3 linked regions of the Stegostoma tigrinum genome follow. Each later gene encodes a partner of the first gene's protein in a complex. Links are inferred from orthologs where the notes say so. Each region holds a gene or a part of one and is shown on either strand. Other genes may lie near its edges.

Region 1 (7,904 bases):
CAAATGCAGCAAGATTTAGACAATGTAAGGCAAGGACCATCTCCAATAAGAGACAGTCTAACCATCACAATGACATTACCATCAGTGAATTCCCCACTATCAACATCCTGGAAGTTACCATTCACCAGGAAGTAAATTGGACTAGTCAGGTAAATACAGTGGCTACAAGAGCAGGTCAGAGGCTAGGAATACTGTCATGAGTAACTAGCCTCTTGCCTCCTCAAAGCTTGTCCACCATCTACAGGGTACAAGTCAGGAGTGTGATAGAATACTCCCTAGTTGCCTAGATGAGTGCCTCCAACAACATTCAAGAAGCTTGACACCATCTAAGACAAAGCAGCCCCTTGATTGGCACACACTCGCGCCTGTTCAGATGCTCAGCAGCAGCAGTGTGTACCACTTATATCATGCATTGCTTGGATAGAGGCTCCTTAGCCAACACTTTCCAAACTCCCAACCACTGATCTAGAAGGACAAGTCAGGGGAAACATGAAGGACACAGAAGAGCTAGTTCCCTTCCAAGCTACTTATCACCCTAACTTGGAAATATATTACTGTTCCTTCACTGTAGCGGGGTCAAACTGTGGAGCTGCCCCTTGCTATGGCATTGTGGGTCTATCTATAGTTGTTGAAGGAGGCAGCTCACCACTACCTTTAGCCAAAATGCTGGCCTAGCCAGTGATGGTCACATCCTATAACTATACGTACATCCAGAAATACGTCAGAAACAAGAATAGGCAACTCTGCCCTGTCAGTTTATAAACCCTTTGACTGTGTTTGCCTTACCCAGATAACATTTGACTGTTCTTGGCCAAGAATCTATGCCTACCTTAAAAATATTCAATGATCCTGCCTGTTGCGGCAGAGAGTTCCAAAGTTTCACTACTGTGAGAAGAAAAAAAAATTGCCCTTGTCTCTGTCATAAGATTGACAACCCTGAAATTTAAACTCTGTCCCCACAGTTCTAGTCCCTCTCACAAGGGGAAAACTTCCTTTCACCGTCCATTCTGTCCAACCCTCTCTGGATGCTACATATCAATCAAGTCACCTCTGAATCTTCTAAACTCCAATGGATATAGACTCAACCTTTCCTCGCTCAGTAACCTCCCATCCCAGGAACTAGTTGAAGTAAACTTATCTGAATTGCTTCAAAAGCATTTACATCTTCCCTTAAGCAAGATCAAAACTGTACAAAATATTCCAGACTTGGCCTCTCCAAAAACTGCAGCAAAACATCTCAACTTTTATATTCCATTTTCCTTGCAGTAAACAAAAACATTCTGTTTGCCTTCCTAATTTCTTGTTGTACCTGTAAACTAATTTAATGCGATTCATGGGCCAGGGCACCCAGATTGTCTGCCTGCCTATCTACACGTGTATTTCGTAACAACGTACAATGAAAAGTATTGTCCACTCTCTGGCACCGACCTAGAACACAACGGGAGTTAAGTGCTCTGTAATGGGTCTGGTGGCCAGTCACGAGTCCCCTTCTCTGTACCACTGCTACTGAAACAAAAGTTGCCACTCTCCAGTGCCATCTCACCTGCTCCAACATCCTCTCCACTTTGAGACCTTTGTGGATTTGCCAGTGCAGTTGCCAGGTACTGCACCAGTCTAAACTCAACTTTGCTGGTGCCATGAGTCTGCTTTGGGACTACTTTGCTAAGGCGCTGCTGCTACTGGGTCTCATACTAGGCCCAAATTTGCCTTTGCTTCTGTGAATCTGTGCTGAATATGGACGCTGCTGGGAAGCCAAACTTGCCTCTGCCGCAGGAGGCATGAGTTGGTGCTAGGACCACCTCTGACGCAGAAGCACTGGGCTTGCTCACTGCTGCCAGTGCAGTTGCTGTGACTGAGCTCTTCAACAAGAGTTAAGTAAAAGAAGGAAAAAAGTGAAAAGCGGATGATCCCCAGGCTGAGGAGCCCAACTCTGCGGCCATCCACACCTCAGATCCCGCTGCACGTCAGACTTCTGCAAAGGTCCTGATTCAAAACATCAACTTTCCTGCTCTTCAGATGCTGCCTGGCCTGCTGTGTTCCTCCAGCTCCACACTGTTGTCTCTGACTCCAGCATCGGCAATTCTTACTATCTCCTATAAAATATATGCTGCTTATCCATTTGAAAATAAGAAATGGGCCCAGCTCAAAACTTATTGAAAGTGAGGAAGCAGTTGTCTGCTGCTGAGAGATTCACAGAATCAACTGGAGAAATCTTTGGGGGGTGGGGCGGGGGAGACTCACAGTCGGTGCTGCTACTGCCAAGCCAAAGGAAAGGACAGTTTTTAGGTTAACCACCAAGCAAGAATGTTGATACAGATGGATTACCAATTTGTAATCGAGTTTTGAGAAGATTTGTAGCTCAGGTTGAGGTTCTGGATGTGAGTTTGCTCGCTGAGCTAGAAGGTTAGTTTTCAGACGTTTCGTCACCATTCCAGGCAACATCAGCAGTGAGCCTCCAACGAGAAAGTGGGACATAACACCAGCGCTTCGTTGGAGGCTCACTGATGATGTTACCTAGAATGGTGACGAAACGTCTGAAAACTAACCTTCCAGCTCAGCGAGCAAACTCACATCCAGAACCAATTGTAATGGTTGGAATTATACCTGGCACAATGGAAGATGGTTGTGGTGATTGGAGGTCAATCATATCTACACGTGGCATCACTGCTGGAGTTCCTCATGGGTAGCATCCTTTGTCCAACCATCTTCAGCTGTTCCATCAACAACTTGTGCTTCATCATAAGGTCAGAGAAATGGATGCACACTGATGATTGCATATGTTTAGTAACATTTGCAGCTCCTCAGATACAGAAGCAGTCCATGTCTATTTGCAGCAAAACCTTGAGGCTTTGGCTCATAAATGGTGAATAATATTGTCTCACACAAATATCAGGCAGTGACCATCTTCAAAAAGAGACAATTTAAACATTTCTACTTCTGTATCAGTGAATCTCTTGATATCAAGTCCATCAGGATTTCCATTGACCAGAAACTTAATTAAATCAGCCATTGGCTACAGAGTAGAAATGACACGTTTCTATCAGACTATTGAGGAAACGCCTTCATTTCACACGATTGGATATTTGAATGAATATGCAATTAATGGATAGAGTTGCTCACTAATCCAAGTATGAAACTTACCAAATTTAGCCATTTCGATGATCAATCTCGTAAAGATTACCAAAACATGCAGGAGACTAATCTTTTAATCTTGTACGCAACAGTGTAGGATGCAAGAAACAGACCTGGGCGGGGGAAAAAAATACCAATTGTACACTTGAGAAAATGTTGCTGATTAGTTGGGCCATTGATGCCATGGAGATACAACATGACCCCAACTGTCAATCTTCGTTTTCAGGCCAAGCAGGTAGACTTTTACGAGTCAAGATAGTTGCCACGAGAAAGTAATAGTTTTATGACCCACTGGGGAAGCATACTGTTTATTGAGGGCTGATATTTCTGGAATTGAATCAAACATTTTAAAAAAATCATTTAAAGTGTACACAGTACCCCAATTTATCAGACATTCAGGTTAATCAAAAGCTTGGGCTAGGTTTGTGTACAAGCCAAGAATTATTAGTTATTACAAGTAATTATACTGCAGCTACAGGTAAGCAAATATAAGCTATTAGCATGCAATGCTAGGAGCCGAAGATTAGAATTTTGAGTTTGCCCCTCCCACATATACCCCACAAATAGGGAAAGTAGATTATTGGCAAAGGTAGAAAAATTTGGAGTGTAAGTTCAGTCGTCTTTGCTTCCAGTTTTGATGTGTTGAGATGATACTTCTTTGGCTGCTGTTGTTATTCAGATATCTTTTTCTGCTTGCTTCCGTAGGTTAATGAGAAGTACAGAATATCACTTTACATCCTTGCTAATATTTTTGTCCTGGGCCTGCTATACTGTTCCAATGAAACTCAATGCCAGCTGGAGGCCTCAGTATGATTTATGACCTCCATTATTCTTATATCCTTTCTCCAATAGAAAACCTACCCGCCCTGGCTCTGTGTATGTTTGCCTTTGCCCTCAAAGTGGATGTAATTTCTCTTATTCACACCTAACGTTTACACCCAATTTCTAACCTTCTTTCTCTGTCATTAAAATTTCCTTTGTCTGTTGTTCTGTGCATCTTCACGATTTGTTATAACTGCTTTTAGTGATGCCCCCATCAACTCCACTAGAAAACACCCTTGGCCTTTGTTCGTTGGGGGGAAGAATCATGTTCAGATGCTGCTCGAGGCGCGATTATGCTTGTGTACAGCAACACCTTGTGGTGGGCAGCGGACATATATCAGTGCCTCATGTGGCAGGTAGGAAAAGGTGTTGCGGCTTCAGCCCAGCATTTATTGCCCATCCCTAATTGCCCAGAGGGCAGTTAAGTGTCAACCACACTGCTGTGGGTCTGGAGTCACATGTAGGTCATAACAGGTAAGGATGGCAGCTTCCCTCCGTAAAAGATGTTAGTGAACCAGATAGATTTTTCTGACAATTGACACCAGTTTCATGGTCATTATTAGACTCCTAATTCCAGATATTCTATCAATTCAAATTCCACCATGGCGGGGTTCGAACCCGGGTTCCCACAGTTTTACTCGGGCGATCCATTAACAGTCCAGTGATAACATCCCTGGACAATTATCTTCTCCAGCAACGCCTCCTGTGGCGGATGCGGGGAGGTACGGCAATGCACACGGCTAAAACTACAACACCCAGAGGGCCGTGCGGTTGCGCATGCGTCCAAGACGGTTTGTTGCTGCGGCCATGCGCAGCGTCCATCAGGACGCGCTATGATTGGTCCAGTATGGCCGCGACGTCAGGCCACGCCTACTGGTCCAATCGCGTGGGAGGTTACTGGAGGGGGCTTTCGGTCTTTAATGTGCGTTTAGGCAGGAGGATCGTATCGGAGAGACCGTGGATGGGGGCCAGCGGTAGCACCAGGCGTGTGTCTTTCGGCAAAGACGATCAGGAACGAGTGACAGTTTTGCAGGGAATGAGGGTGAGTGAGGTTAGGGGGTGATGGATGGGGGTGGGTGATGGGTAATGGGAGGATGGAGGGATGATGGATGGGAAAGGGGTGATGAGGATGAATAGGAATGATATGATGGGAAAGGGATGAGGAGGTTGAGGGATGATGTCTAGGACCGGATGGGAGCGAGGAGGAGGAGGAGTTGATAGATGGGAATTTGGTGATTTTGGAAATTTGGAAAGGGTGTTGGGAAGACTGTGGGATGACTCATGGGAGGGCAGTGGAGAGGATGGATTCATGATGGATGGGGTGGTGTAGTGGAGGGATATTGGACAGGGTTAGTGGGGGAAGGGGAGGGGTGATGGCTGGGAGGAGTTGAGGAGGAGGATGTGATGGATGGTGGCTGGGTGGGGTTAAGGAGAAAGTTGAAAAGAAAGGATGGGGTGGGAGGGGGCGAGAAGGTAGGGATGGTGGTTGTGTGGGTGTGAGATGGAAAGTGGATGATAAATAGGAGTGTGTTGGAAAAGAGGGTGGGATGTAGGATAGAAGGAAGTGAGGGATGATGATTGAGGGGGGAATTGGATGGGAGGGTTTGGGGAGGAGAGAAGGATGATTGATGTTAAGGGGAGTGTAGGATGGATTGGGAGTGTAGCGGGATGATGGATGGGAGGAGGCTGGATGGCGAAGAAGGATGATGGGTTAGTAAGGGGCTGGATAGGATCGAGATCGTGCAGGAAACGATGTGGGGAATGATGAGAGAAGGCAGGTGGGGATGTGTGGGTGGGGGAGGGATTTTGGGGATGTGGGTGAAATAGGGTGTTGAATGGATGCAGTGAGAGATGAGGTGGATATGGGGATGAGGGCGGGTGTATGGGATGAGGGAGAGATGGGAGGCCGTGTGGTTGTGAGAGTGTAGACGTGGTGGAGGCAAAGGGACCATGACAGGTGAATAGCAGGGGGTGGAGGGATGACGGCAAGATGGGAATTGAGAGAGGTGATCATTCATTCACAACCCTACACAGTAGGTAGTGGTACGGGTTTTATTAGATTTGAATCCTATTTGGTACACTTGGAAATTTAACCTAACCCACATTCTTACATGCAATTGTCATTCACCACTCCTCTTCCCCCTAAAAAAAATCTTGCTTCTAACAACAAGGGTGAACATAGGGCTTCTATTCCTCTCTTTTGATTTGATTTTATTTATTGTTGTCACATGTACTGAGATACAGTGAAACGTGTTGTTTTGCAAGCCTTGCTGGTAGATTGTACCATACAAGCTGCATCGGGTCGCAGAACGAAGTGCAGGATACAGTGTTAGAACTGTGGAGAAGGTGCAGAGATAGAGAGAGATCAATCTCAATCGTTCCTCAGATAATTAGTGGTTAGAACCTTCTTCTGTCACCTACTTTGTCATTTGAAATGACTTTGTCATTTTGACCTGTTCTCCTGACTGGTTAATTTTCCTAACACCCTACTATTTAAATGTAGCAAAGTCTCTTTGTCCTTTTTCCACCACCTCCATAGCTTCAGTCTCTTCAATCTGGGCTCCTGATGGCAAATTGGAATCTGATTTTTATGTGGAATTGAAAAGGAAAGTCAAATCTCTTTTTAGTCAATAACCAGCATTAAGTGTTGGGGAAACTAATGAGGTTAAAGATAGATAGGTCCCCTAGACCTGGTGGGATACTTCTATACATCAGTGGAGCTGAGGTGGAGATGATTGAGAGCATCAAGCTCCTCGGAGTGACAATCACCAATAATCTGTCTTGGACTACCCACGCTGATGCAATGGCCAAGAAGACACAAGGATGTCTCTTCTTCCTCAGAAGGCTATGGAAATTCAGCATGTCCATAAGGATGCTTAACAACTTTTACCGATGCACCATAGAAAGCATTCTATCTGGACACATTATGGCTTGGTACAGGAACTGCTCTGCCCAGGATGGTAAGAAACTACAGAAAGTTTTGTGCACAACCCAGACTATCACACAATTCAACCTTCCATCCATTTCTTGTTGCTGTAGAAAAACAGCCAACATCATCAATGACCCCTCCCACCCCAGTTATAATCTCTTCCACCAGGCAGAAGATACAAAAGCTTAAACACACGTACCAGCAGGTTCAAGAACAACTTCTTCTCTGCTGTTATTAGATTTGAGTGGACCTCTCAAATTTCAAATTTAATGTTGATTTTGTATTTTGTGTACCTTCTTTGCAGGTATAACTTTGTATTCCTCATTCTGTTCAATCACACTATCACCTTTGTGTCTTTGTATGCTATAATCTGCGTGTACTGCATGCAAAACAGAAGTTTTCACTGTACTTAGATACATGTGAGACAATGAAAAGTCAAATCAAGTCAAATGTTAAAGGAAGTGAATACAGAGATGGTGGGTGCACTGATAGTAATCATTTGGCAACCAAACAAATTTAAAGGCTTTGTATCTGAATGCACAAAGCATTTGAAATAAAATTAATGAGCTCATGTCAGATCAGTCATAAACCTATTGAATGACAGAGCGGACTCAAGGGCTGAACTGCCTCTACTTAATCCTATTGCTTATGATCAGGAGAGTGAGCATTCCTTGGGTGGGAATATTCACCTGCTGGCTTTATCCTTCTTGGGCAAGGAAGTTGTGGTTTGCTTTTGAAGTGCGTTGGTAGGTTTGCTGCAATGCGACAGGGCTTTCTTTGCTGTCACCAAGACAATATATGGACCCAACAACTAAATGAAAGAAATCAAAAGAACTATGCATGCTGGAAGTCATAAACAAAAACAGAAATTGCTGGGATAAGTCAACGGAGGAATCCCTCTTCTCTCCAACAGCAGGTTATCACCTAAATCCTTGCTGAGGCATCTTCTCCCATCCTCAGAGGAAACCTTTCCTGAAAGCCTGTGTGGCTTTGACTAAACTGTAAAACTACAGGCATGATT
Region 2 (7,713 bases), on another chromosome or scaffold:
TTTTGCAGGGCTGGAATGGACCAGTGTCATCCTGCCGCTACTTCCAATGCCTCCCACCCACCACCCCAGCACCCCAAAGGCCACACATCTGACCCTCAGACATGATGTTCACTCCTCTCACCCCCTACGTTATGAACAGAGAGTTGGGATAAGCCTCAGCTCCATAAGCCTAAAGTGGGAGGGAGTGCCCTGGATGGTGGAGCTTTGGTTCAGCCTACAGGGCGAGGGTTACTAATGGGAGCAGGGCCTGACAATCCCAAAAGGGTTTGGAGATAGACAGAGGGCTACCAGATGCTGAGGCACATTGTCTCAAAGGCTGGCTCTAGAGCTTCATCCCATGTTGAAAGAGAGACCAAGAAAGCAAAGGACAGCCTTCCAACTCTCACTCCTCACTAATCACTCCTCATACCTCATCCAGGTCAGTGCATGCCAGCTTAAATCCTCCCATATTCCCTTATACCCCCGGGGTCAACATATGGTTACCAACATACTCTCCTGGTCCCTTATAGACCCCATGCCAATTTTGCATCTACTAGCATCAACCCACAGCCCTAACCACCACCTTTTGTCCTTTCACATTCCATGCTAACTCACACCATATCCATCAGAGACACATCTCAGGACTCAGGTTGAGAAGGAATAACATCAAATTCTAAGTGTCCACTGATTACTTAACAATTTTTAAAAAATGGTTCATTGATCAAAGCCCGTTCATCGATTACTAATCCCTCATAAAACCCAACATTCATCCAAGTACTTAATCCCAAATAAAATCAAGCATCTGTATCCAGAGCCCCACATTGTATAACCACTTGGAATTCTCAATTAAACTGTGTCAAAATAGCACCCCGATGTGACAACGGTAGATTGTTGAACTAGTCATAGAGCACAAATTTGATAATGATAGCCCTAGGGCTGATATGTGTAAATGGTGAAATAATGTGCACAGATTTAAGAAGAAACGTTTTTATGTTTACAATATATCAAATGGCTTGGATGAAGAAAGTGAACATCAAGTTTGAGCAAAATAAATGCCAAAGAAATCAGTTGATAACCTTAAAAAATGAGCAATTAGTAATAAAAAAAATTGCCTCTCAAAATGTCAAGTAGCAGAGAAAACAGATAAAACTTTTTGTTGCTGTTTTGTTTAAGTGTCAGTGAGAAATAAACTTGAGTGCAACCCCTCATCACCAGGGAAAGGGAAGATGAGAGGAGCTAAGTTTAGGTGTTAGCTTTAACAAACATCAGTGTGCAATTACATCTGGTGTTGTACCCTCCAAACTGACCTGGGCAAAACTCATGCAAAAGTGAGAGAGAAAAAGGCCTTACTGACTGGATTTTCCTCCTCATGCAGCTTAGTGCATAGTTAGGTTTCAGAGGACGTGTTGAGTTCACTGCTCATCCCCAGTCCCAGGTTCTCATTTAGTCTCTCCCTCCCCTTCTCACACACTCCCTGTTTTCGCAGTGCCTCATTCACACACCTCCCCTGTTATTTTCACACACAGGCCCCTTCTCTTTCACTTCTTCACATAACACTCCACCTCTTCTCTCACTGACAAACACTCTCTGCCTCACTCTCTCAGACCCATCTACTCTCTCACTTGAGGGGTGTGTTTAGGTCTCACCTCAGTACTAACACTTTCAGAGAACTGCAACCTTACACAACATGCCCTTCGCTCTCTCCCTCCTTCTCTCTCTCTCTCATACACACTGTCTCTATCCCGCTTACAGGCTGTGCCTCTCTTTCTCATACTCATACATTCAGGCTTTCTTTTCTCAGAGATGCTGTCTTTCTCTCATCTCACTTAAAGACTGTCTCTCTCTCTCTCTATTTCACTCTCTCACACACACCAAATTCTGGACTTTGTGCCCCTCTAACTCAAACTCTGTGTCACTCACCTTCTTAGTCAAGAGTCTGGATTTTAAAAGCACCTGCTGGGTGTATTTTTTGTGTTCTTCATGGAATACAATAAAAAGGTGAATTTAACACACACTCAAATACATGATTCACACTCAAATACATGACACAGAAACAGCTAATAAAGCAACAACAACTTGTACACAGCACTTTTAAGGTAATAAAAACTTTGAGGGTGCTTCACAGGAGTGTAATGAAATAAGATTTGATACTGAGAATACAAGAATATGTTAAGTCAGATGACCAAAAGCTCAATCAAGGGGCTACATTTTAAGAAGAGTCCTAAAGTGGAAAGCACAGTAAGAGGAGGAGAGGTGTAGGGAGGGAATTGCAGAGATTAGGAGATAGGCAGCTGCAGCATATTCAGCAATGTTGGATCAATTAAAGTTGGGAAAGCTCAAATTTACCCTAAAGATTGCAGAATAAATTGCATCAAAAACCTTAAAATTCCTTACCAAAATCAAAATTGTCTCTCCACAATATTGCCAAAAGCCCTGCAGAAACCGTTAAAATGAGAATGAAAAAGCTTTTAAAGCCTGCCATTTCTGAGTATCCAAATTCCAACGGCAAAGCATGGTGAATGAGAGGTTTTATTGACACGTTAGTTATCGTGAGTGCTGTTGGCAATACTAGTATTTATTGGCTATCTCTGAGAAGTGCGTAAAGTTTTACTGCTCACTTTAGATTGAATTGCAGCATTGCAAGATTAAAGTTATTTATTCCATGAAACAAAGTGGTCGAATGTTGATGAAGGGACACTGGATCAGGGTTTGTAGTCACTGCAATATTTTATAACCACCCCTTAACTTCTGGCTTCTAATTCTAAACTTTACTAAATTCAACTTCCACTATTTGCTCTGACAGAGTCTGTACCCAGATTCCCAGAACATTACCTGGGTCTCTGGATTAACAGTTCAGCAATAATAGCATTAGTCAATCATTGGTGAGACCACTTCCAAAAGTAGTCTCACGAATGTCTGGTACAACTGCAAAATGAGGTCCGAACTCCTATACTCAATGCTCTGCCCAATTAAGGAAAGCGTGTCAAAAGCCTTTACGAACCTTGTTTACTCGTGATGTCATTTACAATGAGCTATGAACCTGCAACCCTAGATCAGTATGTTCAACAACTCTCCAGGGTTCTACCATTAACTACGTAAGTCCTGCCCTGGTTTCCTTACTAAAACGCAACACTTCGCATTTATCTCAATTAAACTCCATCTGCTATTTCTCAGGCCATTGGCCCATCTGATCAAGATCCCTTTGTACTCTTAGATAATCTTCTTCACAGTCCACTATGTCAGCAATTTTGGTGTCATTTGAAAACTTCCTAACCATACCTCCTATATTCTCATGATCTCCTGATGTCCCTCATGGCACAGATACATGACCTGATCTCCCTCATCTAGTAGGATGACAGCATGCCCGCAGATCTCTGAAATGCTGTAATGGTAAAATGAAAGGAGTTATGACTAATTGTAGTAACTGCAGTAGAGTATACCTGATGCCCACGACGGGGATGGTCATTACAAGAAGCGTCCTCAACATTTGGAGTCGCAGGATCAGAAGCAGCAGTGGCCAGCGTGTTGCTCTGCCCCTCCCCCTCAGGCTACAAATCTAATATTTCTTGCTGTTCTGTGGCAGGACCTTTGACGTCCCTGAGTGTCAGTGGCTTCCAGAGCCAGAGGCTAATGCGTCCACACAACATTTGGCATGCAGCTTAGAGGGAAAATTGCTTTGAGGTCTGAACCCCATCCCACCTCATAGAATCATGGAAATGTACAGCACGGCAACAGACCCTTTGATCCAACTCATCCTTGCGACCAGATATCCTAAATGAAGTCCCATTTGCCAGCATTTGGCCCATATTCCTCTAAACCTTTCCTATTCATATGCCCATCTTTTTAGATGTTGTAATCATACCAGCCTCTAGCACTTCCTTTGGAAGCTTATTGCATACATACACCACCCTCTGCGTGAAAATGTTGCCCCTTAGATCCCCTTTAAAACTGTCTCCTCTCCTTGAACCTATGCCCTCTAGTTTCAGACTCTCATAGGTCTCTCGACCCATCCACCAATAATCACCCCTACCCAGCTCTCGTGTTAAATTGGAGATCACGACAGCTTTGAAGCCTAAAATTAGGATTAAAGTGAGAAAAGATCTGGGTATCACTTTGCCACACTCACTGAAATTATCCTGTGAACATTATTTTTTCTCACACCTTTCTGTTTTTGTACCCCTAGCTTATCCTGTAATTTTATATTGTCCCTCCTGGTTCTCTCCACAAAATACAGCTCTTCCCATTTCTCTGGGGTCAATTAAATTCGCCTGTGGTCTGGGCACCAAATGCCCCTGTGCTTTAAGACAGTTGACAAAGTGTGCATCGTTCGCAAAATTCTCATATTGGGTCCTGGCAGGTGGTGTGGGAGGAACTTGGGTTGAACTGTGCAGGAGATTAATAAATAAATTAGGTGAAGGATGAGGATGGGAGTCCTGCATTGCTATAGCACCTCCAACCTAGTCCACAAAGCGACTGGCAGAGAGGAGCCGCCAGTATCAAAGATGGCTGCGCCCAGTAACGGGCTGAAGGTCAAAAACACCTCCCCCACCGCCCGATTGACGGGTGAGAGGGAAGGTTACGGAGAAGGGACCGGGAGTACGGGCATCGAGGGCCCGAAGAGTGGCGGAGAGGGAGGGGAAAAAGTGGGAAGTGGAGGGGATGTTCGGGAATAATTTTAAAAACCGAGTGGCTGCGGCAGCTGGAGTGACGTAGCGGGGGCGGGAAGGTGAAAGGTCACAGGAGGAGCACAGACCGCTCATGGCGTCCGGGGTTGTCAAAGCTGTCAGGTTCGGGACGATGGGGTTGTTACTGTGGAACAAGTTTGGGACGGGGGTGAGGGTAAATTTGGAATAAGTATGGGACTGGGGAGAGGTGTTATGGTAGGAGGGGGCGCGGCAGCGGGTGAGGACAGAGTAAACGACCCGGAGTGGGGGAGGGGACTCTGTTATTTCAGATGTTTTATATCTCTGCTAATGGACCCAGTACTCTCAGTTACACTGAAAACTGCTCTTGAATGATAAGAATTGCTACTTTTACTTAACGTTCCATCAAATTTACCAAAATCGCCACAGGCACTAAAAGCTTTCTTAAATCCCAAGATATTCAAGGGGCAATTGGAGAAGCTGAAATAAATTTATTAACTAGCAATAGAGGAAAAAGTACTCAGGAAGCTTGTTGTGGACCAGACCTGGGCAGACAATGGTGGTATTCTTGCTGGACTATTAATCCAGAGACCCAGATAGTGTTATGGGGACCTAGGCTCAAATTCCTGCCATGGCAGATAGTGGAATTTGAGTTCAATACAGTATCTGGAATTAAGAATCTAATGATGACTGTGAATGCATTGTCAATTGTCAGGAACAACCCATCTTGTTCACTAATGTCCTTACCTGCCTGGCCTACAGTGCAACTCCACACCCACAGCAATGTGGGTGACTTTTAACTGCCCAGAGAGCAGTTAGGGATAGGTAATAAATGCTGGCCTAGCCAGTGACACCCTCATCTTGTAAATGAATAAAAAGGAGACCGCCTCAAAATATTTGAAGAAGGTAGCCTAGACCTTAACTTTTCCTTATTTTAAAGGTAGATGTGAACTGCGTGTTGCAGATGTGACACAACTGATAAAATTACTCAATGTTAAGCAAAATACAATTTATTTAAACACTACAGTTAATATACAAACAAAAGAAAGAGGAATATGGAATAACTTAAGTATTGGAAAACTTAACCAAATAACAGATACGGTACATATCACTAATTAAGTGTTCCATGTAGTAATATTCCAAAGACATATCCCTTGGCAAAAAGGTAAATTCAGAAACAATCTTTCTCGCAGGACAAAATAACATTGAGAGGTTTCAGAGAAAGTCGCAGTTAGGAATCATTTACTGAAGCTCCAACTCTTCTGGGACTTGAGCAGCTTCTGACAGCTACAGCTAAACTACTGTAGAGCCTGATTTGTGAGAACTGGCCACTCCCCTTCCATTGTTACAACTGTTTTTAAACAAATCTAAAGGCCTCTTAAACAATTGACTTAGGCCATCTCCTGTCGCCACTTCAGGAACTATGTCTTTACAACCCCTCTTCAAAAAAAACCCAAGACAAAATAACCTTTATAAAGTGACAGTGTCATCACAAACTCGTGGGGCTAAAGACCAATCATGAAGAAGGGTCACCAGACCCATAACATTAGCTCTGATTTCCCTCCACAGATGCTGCCAGATCTCATGAGCTTTTCGAGCAATTCTGTTTTTGTTTGTGTTTGTAAAACATTGAGAGTCGGGATTTTCAGGATCACACCCTGTGATAGTGGTGTACTTTGTTAGGAAAGTTAGAGGAGTTAAATATTATTTAAAGACTGCAGGAAGGTACAGAATAGAGATTTACAAGTTCTTGTCTTTGAATCACAAAGAGCATCCAAGATCAGTAGGTAACAGGAAAGGCAAATGGGACATTCTGATTGGAGTATTTTACTATATAAGACACAGTCAGACCATAGCTAGAATACTATTACAATTTTGGGCCTCATTTCAGGAAAGATATATTGTCTTGGGAGGCAGTCCAGATAAGGTTCATGACACTGATAACAGGCATGGAGGGACTGTCTTCTGAGAAGAGGTTGAGTAGATTGGGTCTGTGGTCACTTGATTACAGAAGAATTAGAAGTCATTTTATTGAAACAGACATGATTCTCTCTGGACTGAACAGGGTTGATGCAGAAATGTGGGTTTCTTCTCACGGGGACAGTATAGGACCAGAGGCATATTTGTAGTATAAGGGTTTGCACGTTTGAATCAGATGAGAAATTTCTGTGGAATTCTTTACCATAGAGGGCTGGATTATTAAGTCTTTTCAAGGTTGTGAGAGATTTTTAATCAGTAAAGAAATCAAGGATTACGGAAAAATTGCAGGAAAGTGGACTTAAGGATTTTCAGATCAGCCATGATGTCGTTGAATGGTGGAGCAGACATGATGGACCGAATAGCTGACCTCTGCACACATGTCTTATGGCTATCCAGAAGAAATGACAACATGCAGTCACCTATTTTAAGCTAAGTGACTGATCAATCTACTTTAAAGACATGCTGTTTGGGAGAAGAAAGTTACCTCAAATGATGTTAAACTCATTGTTTTGTTGTTGTTTGAGGCAGAACAGTTGTCTGAAATCTAAAAGCAGAGGAATCATACTGTTTATCTATTTGAGCCCAGACTGATTATTGTCCTCATTTTTTAGTGAGGTTGAATTCATGTTCCTATTTTGTTTTTCCTAATGGTTTTGTTTCAAGGTTCTTCACAAAGTTTGGGATAATTGGAGGCACTGTGTACATTATTTATGACCAGGACTTATTTGGAAATGGGGAGCGCAGTTTGGAGATACTGAAGACTACGGCAGATGAGCTCCCGGTTGCTATGGATCACTGGGCCAAGTATTTTGGTGTGGAGGTACAGTATATAATCTGAGAAAATATTTGTTTATTCTTTGTCTCCTCTCTCCTGCTCCTGTTTTGATTGAACTGGGTTGCCATTGTTACCAGAAGCCGTCCGTTCCGTTGCCCAAGAAGCTTTACTTCTGGCGTGAGTTCAAAAGTATTGTACAGGGACTCTGTAGTTGGATATGTGTGTGTGCGTGAGTGAAAGAATATGAGAAAAATTGCACCCAAGAAGAGACTGATGCAACTAGCTGGCTTGTTAGAAAATGGCTAGTTGGAAAATGTTAATCCATTCTAAAGGATG
Region 3 (7,547 bases), on another chromosome or scaffold:
TAATGATTTTCATTCGATTGCAGTGAGGGTTATAAGACTACTAGGTCTGTTGTTTCCCTGGCTCATCTTTATTAGTACACTGGTTTTCTCCAATTTAGCTAAAAATTAACAACATGGAATTATCTAAGCCCATTTCTTCCAACTGATAATGATCAAGAAAACAGCCAATACAGCAGATGGTGGATAGAATCAATATTTTCTCGTCATGGTAATTACATGAATCTGCAAGTACATTTCACAAAAAAGAACGCTTGCCTAATCTTTGAAAACCTCAGTGACAAGGTTATCCAGTTTCAGCCTGATCAAAAAAGGTATAATATCCAGCATCACATCCATAAGAAGAAAAACTAATTTATCTGATGCTTTCAACCCCTACCTTCAACCTTTAATTGTTGCTTAGCTTCTTACTTGGTAAAAGCTGCAGCATCTCGTGATCCAAAGGGTCTGAATGTTTGGGAAATGCACATTTAAGGATCAATATTTATGTAATAAATCTCAGTAGGTTGTTTCAGAGGATTTCGGATGTGTTTTATATCAGCTGCAGCAATTGTTAATTCATCACTGCTGTTACAGGGAGTGTGCCAATGTTTTGAAAAAACACAAACAGTATTTGGCTGTTCAAAAGCTGAGATTGTTTTAGTTTACTGCAAGATAGGATGCTGTTACATGCAAGTGGCTGTGATATAAACAGTTCAAATTACTGTTACACAAGGCAAAAGGTATGAATACAAATTGAATCCTGACAAACAGCTCAAAAACTCAGTGTAACAGCTTGACTGACATTCTTTTAACAATGGTTTTACGAGAGGATAGGTAGGCAAATATTACAAATTTATGGACCAAAATAATGCTGTATACTCTATAGACCCCTCGGTTCGATGGAAATAAAGTGACTGCCAATAGATCCTCAGCTTTTATAGAATCCCAACAGTGTAGATGGAGGCCTTTTAACCCATCAAGTCTGTACTGACCCTCCAAGGAGCATCCCAGCCTATCCCTGTAATCCCACATTTACCAAGGCTAATCCACCCAGTCTGCACATCTTTGGACACCACAAGGTAATTTTCAATGGCCAAGCCACCTAATATGCACATCTTTCGATGTGGGAGGAAATCGGAGTAGACAGAGGAAGAACATACAAACTCCACACAGACGTTCACCTGGAATCAAACCCAGGTCCCTGCCGCTGTGAGGCAGCATTGCTAACCACTGAGCTACTGTATCTCCTTTTGGGTTCATGTCCTGAATATCACAAGCCCCAATAAATTGAATGACTGGATTGTAGATTGAGTAGAATGACCCCTTAAATGTCGAAAGGAGTTTGTCTTTTAGCCTCAGTTTTATAGCACAAGTCAATATTCCTTCTTCTCTGTACCCACAATAGGGTCAACATATTGACACCCATCAGGATTTCATACCAATTCTCCACCAAGATTACCAACAGTGTAATTGGTGGTATTTGAACAAGGTACTGCATGCTCCAATCTTCTCTTTAATTGGGCACCTGAAGATACAGCATAGTGGATGATTGGCTCCTCCATACCCTTTTGTTTAAGTGCTTTGCCTGCCATATCGGCCAGGAGTGGATACACGAATTGGTCAGGCATATATAAATTTGATGCTTGGTCCCATTATGTGGGTGAATTAATCTTTTCTAAATTTGTTAATGAAAGAGCACAACCACACTGTGCTTTCCTAGATCATATTTTGTGATATATCACTGGAGCAGGTGGGATTTAAACACAAACTGTCTGGCCCAGAGGTAGGGACACTACCACTGTACCATTTCCCCAAAATATAAGTTTTATGTTTTCTTTATTGAGTTGCCAAAAAGATTTGGCGCATTCCTTCTAGCACCTGAATAAATTTGTGGATTTTTGCCATTCATCATCTTTCACATCTGCCCCCAACCCTTGCCAAGGTAGCCTTTCTCTCAATTCTGCCACGGTGTCTAAAATTACAAGACTAAAAACATCAAAGTATTTAATTGACTGTGAACTGTTTCACGCATCTTCAAAGTTTTGAAAGGTCAAGTTGTGTCTAAATTCTTTATTTTCTTTAGCAAAGATCTGTCGCTGGAGTTGTTGGTTGCTCGCCGAGCTGACTGGTTAGGTGACATCTTCAGTCCTGTCTAGCCTCCGTTGAAGTGCTGTTCTATTCTCTTCTGAAATTATATGGTCCAGTCTGTTATGGTGGATAGTTGTGTTTCTGGTTTCACTCCATAATGTTATGTTGTTGGGGTCTATTTCAACATGCTTGTTTATGGTACCAGTAGTTGAAAACCAGGCTTCCAAAAATTCTCATGCTCGTCTTTGTTTTGCTTAGACCATAAGACCATAAGACATAGGAGTGGAATTAAGGCCATTCGGCCCATCGAGTCCACTCTGCCATTTAATCATAGCTGATGGGCATTTCAACTGCACTTCCCAGCACTCTCCCTATGGCCCTTAATTCCTTGTGAGATCAAGAATTTATCAACCTCTGTCTTGAAGATATTTAACATCCCGGCCTCCACTGCGCTCCATGGCAATGAATTCCACAGGCCGACCACTCTATGGCTCAAGAAATGTCTCCTCATTTCCGTTATAAATTGACCCCCTCTATTTCTAAGGCTGTGCCCAAGGGTCCCAGTCTCCCCACCTAATGGAAACAATTTCCCAGTGTCCACCCTTTCTAAGCCATGCGTTATCTTGTAAGTTTCTATTAGATCTCCCCTCAACCTTCTAAACTCTAATGAATACAATCCCAGGACCCTCAGCCCATCATCATACGTTAAACCTACCATTCCAGGGATCATCCGTATGAATCTCCGCTGGACACGCTTCAGTGCCAGTATGTCCTTCCTGAGGTGTGTGGGGCCCAAAATTGGACACAGTATTCTAAATGGGGCATAACTAGAGCTTTATAAAGTCTCAGGGGTACATCGCTGCTTCTATATTCCAACCCTCTTGAGATGAATGACAACATTACATTCACTTTCTTAATCACGGACACTACCTGCAAATTAACCTTTAGAGAATCCTGGACCAACACTACCAGATCCTTTTGTACTTCGGCTTTATGAATTTTCTCACCATTTAGAAAATAGTCCATGTCTGTATTCCTTATTCAAAAGTGCAAGACCTCGCATTTGCTCACGGTGAATTTCATCAGCCAATTCCTGGACCACTCTCCTCAACTGTCTAAATCTTTCTGCAACCTCCCCACCTCCTCAGTACTAACTGCCTGTCCACCTATCTTTGTATCATTGGCAAACTTCGCCAGGATGCTCCCAGTCCCTTTATCCAGATCATTAATATATAAAGTGAACAGTTGCGGCCCCAAAACTGAACCCTACGGGACACCACTTGTCACCGGTTGCCATTCTGAAAAAGAGCCTTTTATTCCAACTCTCTGCCTTCTGTCAGACAGCCAATCCACAATCCAAACCAATAGCTCACCTTGAACACCGTGGGCCCTCGCCTTACTCAGCAGCCTCCCGTGAAGCTTGTCCGAACTTTTCATTTTCTCTAGGTATTGGGATATGTGTCAGTATTGTTAGCGATGGGGTATTGTCCCTGGGGGACTGTATCAGTAATTGAGAAGGTAATGGTTAGGCATGCCTCTGACTTGTGAGTCAGTATTTGAGAGGCTGTGTGTTGCTGGGGTCTGTCGATATTTGAAGGTTTTTTTTCTACAAATGTGATTATAGTTGCAGCATGTCTTTTGGCTTGCGACTCCATTTGCTGAGACTTGTCCCAGAGGGTATCCGTTTCCACATATGCAGTCCCCATCATACATAATCGTGGGGAGCTCTCTTTGACTGCGTGTTTCTTCAAACAACAACTAAATCAAGCTTATCCATACCCTTTATTGTATTAAAAGCCTTCCAAGCTGTTTCACATATCGTCAGAGACATCTTCACTGGGTACTGTGTCATCAACAGAGTCATCCTCATGGGGAATATAAAAAGAAACCCTTGTGGGTGATACGTTTCCCATGGGGACGACCCTGGTGATGATAAGTTGCCTATGAAGATGACTTTAGTGATGATAATTATCCCAATTAACATGACTCTGGTCAGCACAGGCACTCCCAAGACCTTAGAGCCGGCGCTGAAAGTTTTGCGCATGTGATGGACGTCAATGCCGTGGTGAAAGGCGCATGCTCCAACACCGGGTCACAAAAGCTGACGTTTCGGGCCTAGGCCCTTCTTCTGGAGAAGGGAAAAGTCAGCCTTCCTGCTCCTCTGATGCTGCTTGGCCTGCTGTGTTCATCCAGCTCTACACCTTGTTGTCTCAGATTCTCCAGCATCTGCAGTTCCCACTATCTCTGAGGGCAGTCTGTAAGTTCCAAAGCCGGCACCTCGTGCACTGCGCATGTTTCGACACCGCCTGCTCGGCTCAGCCCATGTTCTGTCCCCGGCTCCTCGGACACTGCGCATGTTCTGGCGCCTGCTCCTCCGGCACTGCGCATGTTCTGGCGTGTTCTTCGTGGACTGATCATGTTCTGGCGCCGGTTCCTCGGGCACTGCGCATGCCCGGAGCCGGCGGTGTCGTGATGGCGTTTCAGGTGAGTGTCCGCAGGCCTGTTGTGCGAACGTGAGAGGCGGGGTCCTAGCGGCCGTTACTCATTTTATTGTGCTACTGTGGTCCAGGGCAGCAGGACTCCGGGCGTTTGTATGGACTGACAGTCTGAATGATAAGATGTTATCAGAAAGTTGGCCTCTGTGTGAGAGTTTGTGGATCAGCACCAAGGTACATTCATGTAGCGCCTTTAAAGCGACGAACCATACCTGTGCGCTTCACAGGAGCATTCTAGAATAACAGCATTCAGCCTCATAAAGAAATAGGGTCAAATGACCAAAGCTTGATCAAAGAGGTGTTAATTGGCAAATAACCTTGGTATTTTTAGGAGGTGTGGGGCAGGCTGCCTGGACCTGGAGCAGAGACAGAATGCTGGAGAAATTCAGGCCTGAATGCACCTGAGGAGTGAGAAACAGAATTTATGTTTCGGGTCTGATCTGTCTCGGTCGGAACTGAACAAGTGCCGGAGCGGACTTGAAGCATTAATTCTGTTTCTTTTTCCAACATTCTCTGTTTGTGTCTGATTTCCAACATCCACAATGTTTTGCCTTTATTTGAGGTGGAGATGGTCACTGTACGTTCTGATGATATTGCCGGGGGTTACTTACACTCTGAGGAATTGAGGGTAGTTGGGAGAGAGGAAGCAAGGATAGATCCTTTTGGGTGACACCAGTGATCATAATGACAAAACAGATAAAGAAGCTACAGCAAGTGACTAATGTCAGATAAATGAGAATTGAGCTGGGAGTGTAACTCCACCCATCTGGCCACTGAAGCAGAGGTGGGAGATGGTGTGATCAGCTGTGCATAACTCAGAATTCTACAGTGTGGGAACAGGTCCTTTGGCCCAACAAGTCCATACTGACCCTCAGAGCATCCCACCCAGATCCATCCCTAAAAGCCACCTAATCTACACACCCCTGAACACTTTGGGAAATTTATCATGGCAGTCCACCGAACCTGCGCGTCTTTGGACTGTGGGAGGAAACCTCCACCAACACGGGATGAATGTGCAAATTCCACACAGACAGTTGCCCAATGATGGAATTGAACCTGAGTTCCTGATACTGTGAGGCAGCAGTGCTAGCCATTATGCCATATGCTGTGTTAAGAAAATATCTGTGGGTATGTACCTGTGTATGTTTAGGATTTGTTTGATGTAAATATTCCTTCATAGGAGTGTTATCAAAGAAAGTGTAGTTCCAGACCTCGTGAAATATTAGGACATGTGTCCAAAACCTTGTTCAACAATTATGTTTTAAATTCTGTCCTAAAGGAAGGGAGAGACATTTCGAGTGGGAATCCTAGCTCCTAGGGTTTAGATTGCTGAAGGAACTAACATTTTTAAAAAGGGTGTGGTAAAATATTAATATCTGCTTGATTTGCAGTGAACAGCTGTATAACACTTAGTGAAAATGCATATTATATTTTATATCTGGTGTGAATGCTGTTATGATACACTTTGTCAACACTTGGGAACATGAGACATTTAATATCAAACATTCCCATTGTCAGATATGGTGCAGCTAGACAATAAAATTGCTGTCACCATGCCTCACCAAAGTGCCTCAACTTCAACAAAGAATGCAATGATTTTGTTGTTTTCCATTTTAGTTTTCCTTAAACCATGCTCAAGTGACAGTGCCTGAAAGGAAACAGTGCAGTGTTGAGTGCTTATTAAACTGAGACTCTTCTCACATTAATGCACTATCGTTTACATAGAGTTGATCTAACTCGTCCAGGCTGACCAAATATCCAAAATTAATCTAGTCCTATTTCCCAGCATATGACGCATATCCCTCTAACTCCTTCCAATTCACGTGCCCATCCAGATGTTTTTTTAAATCTTGTAATTTTACCAGCCTCCACCACTTCATCTGGCAGCTCATTCCATACACACACCACCCTGTGCAGGAAGAGGTTGCTCCCAGGTCCCTTTTAAATCTTTCCCCTCACCTTAAACTATTGTCCTCTAGTTTTGGACTCCCCTACCCTGGGGAAAAGGCTGTTCACCCTCTCCATTACTCTCATGATTTTATAAACCTGTATTACGTCACCCCTCAGCCTCTAACACTCCAAGGAAAATAGTCCAACCATATTCAGCCTCTCCCCTATAGCTCAAGCCCTGCAACCCTGGCAACATCTTTGTTAGATAAGACTTTAAAAGCCAGAGTTGGGTTTGGAGCGCAAGTCCTAAATCTGGTGATTCCAAATCTCTGAGAGAAGATTTTCTAAATTGACAGCGCTGAATTAAATGTGGTTGTGTGGCCTTTTTCACTGAGTAAGCTCCACATTTTCTAAAGAGCTCTTGTGACACAGCAAGGCAGGAGCTCCATGGTCAGATTCAGTTTACCTGCTCAATGGCCGTGGAAGTTGTGCTCATCATGTGGCCAAACAGGTCGAACATCAACCGGTAAACCCTTCAAATACAGAAATAGGTGGTAAGAGCTTAACAGTTTCCAATTGGCCAGAACTATGGTTTAGTTTTCTTTTTCTTTGTTCGTTAATGAGAGAACATCGCTGGCTAGGCTGCATTTATTGTCCATCCCTAAATGCCCAGAGGGCATTTCCGGGTCAACCACATTGCTGTGGACCTGGAGTCACATGTAGGCCAGACCAGGTGAGGATGGCAGTTTCCTTCCCTAAAAGACCTTAATGAGCCAGATGGGTTTTTTCCCCCAACAGTCGATTCAAGGTCATTAGATTGTTAATTCCAGACTTTTTTATTGAATTCAAATTCCACTGTCTGCCGTGGGGAGATTCAAATCCAGGTCCCCAGAATATTATCCAGGTCTATGTAGTAACAGTCCAGTGATAATACCACTCAGCCATTCCCTCCCTGTACTGTGCACAACAGCAACCATTCATTTAAAAAAAAATTCCCAAGCACAGGTTCTTATCATGTACTGGACTCCGTGGCAAGTGTTCTCACTGTTAGTGACTTCTGGACATCTGCATCGAAGCTTCCCAGTTTCAATATCC

Evidence for each region.
Region 2: MICOS complex subunit mic25-a-like (region 1) and micos13 share a complex: the UniProt entries of both Homo sapiens proteins name them as parts of the mitochondrial contact site and cristae organizing system (MICOS) complex. The link is inferred for Stegostoma tigrinum from reciprocal best matches to the Homo sapiens genes CHCHD6 and MICOS13.
Region 3: MICOS complex subunit mic25-a-like (region 1) and MICOS complex subunit MIC27-like share a complex: the UniProt entries of both Homo sapiens proteins name them as parts of the mitochondrial contact site and cristae organizing system (MICOS) complex. The link is inferred for Stegostoma tigrinum from reciprocal best matches to the Homo sapiens genes CHCHD6 and APOOL.

What each region holds. Positions count from the first base shown.
Region 1 is NC_081364.1:5,900,476-5,908,379, forward strand, and holds the start of MICOS complex subunit mic25-a-like, read left to right. Parts: upstream 1-4,825; 5' UTR 4,826-4,915; coding exon 4,916-4,996; intron 4,997-7,904. UniProt on the Homo sapiens protein: Component of the MICOS complex, a large protein complex of the mitochondrial inner membrane that plays crucial roles in the maintenance of crista junctions, inner membrane architecture, and formation of contact sites to the outer membrane.
Region 2 is NC_081383.1:9,018,874-9,026,586, forward strand, and holds the start of micos13 (MICOS complex subunit MIC13), read left to right. Parts: upstream 1-4,694; 5' UTR 4,695-4,737; coding exon 4,738-4,766; intron 4,767-7,265; coding exon 7,266-7,422; intron 7,423-7,713. Other genes in the region: hsd11b1la (hydroxysteroid 11-beta-dehydrogenase 1-like protein), read right to left, coding at 1,900-1,955, 2,374-2,461. UniProt on the Homo sapiens protein: Component of the MICOS complex, a large protein complex of the mitochondrial inner membrane that plays crucial roles in the maintenance of crista junctions, inner membrane architecture, and formation of contact sites to the outer membrane.
Region 3 is NC_081368.1:65,800,403-65,807,949, reverse strand, and holds the start of MICOS complex subunit MIC27-like, read left to right. Parts: upstream 1-4,453; 5' UTR 4,454-4,515; coding exon 4,516-4,551; intron 4,552-7,547. UniProt on the Homo sapiens protein: Component of the MICOS complex, a large protein complex of the mitochondrial inner membrane that plays crucial roles in the maintenance of crista junctions, inner membrane architecture, and formation of contact sites to the outer membrane.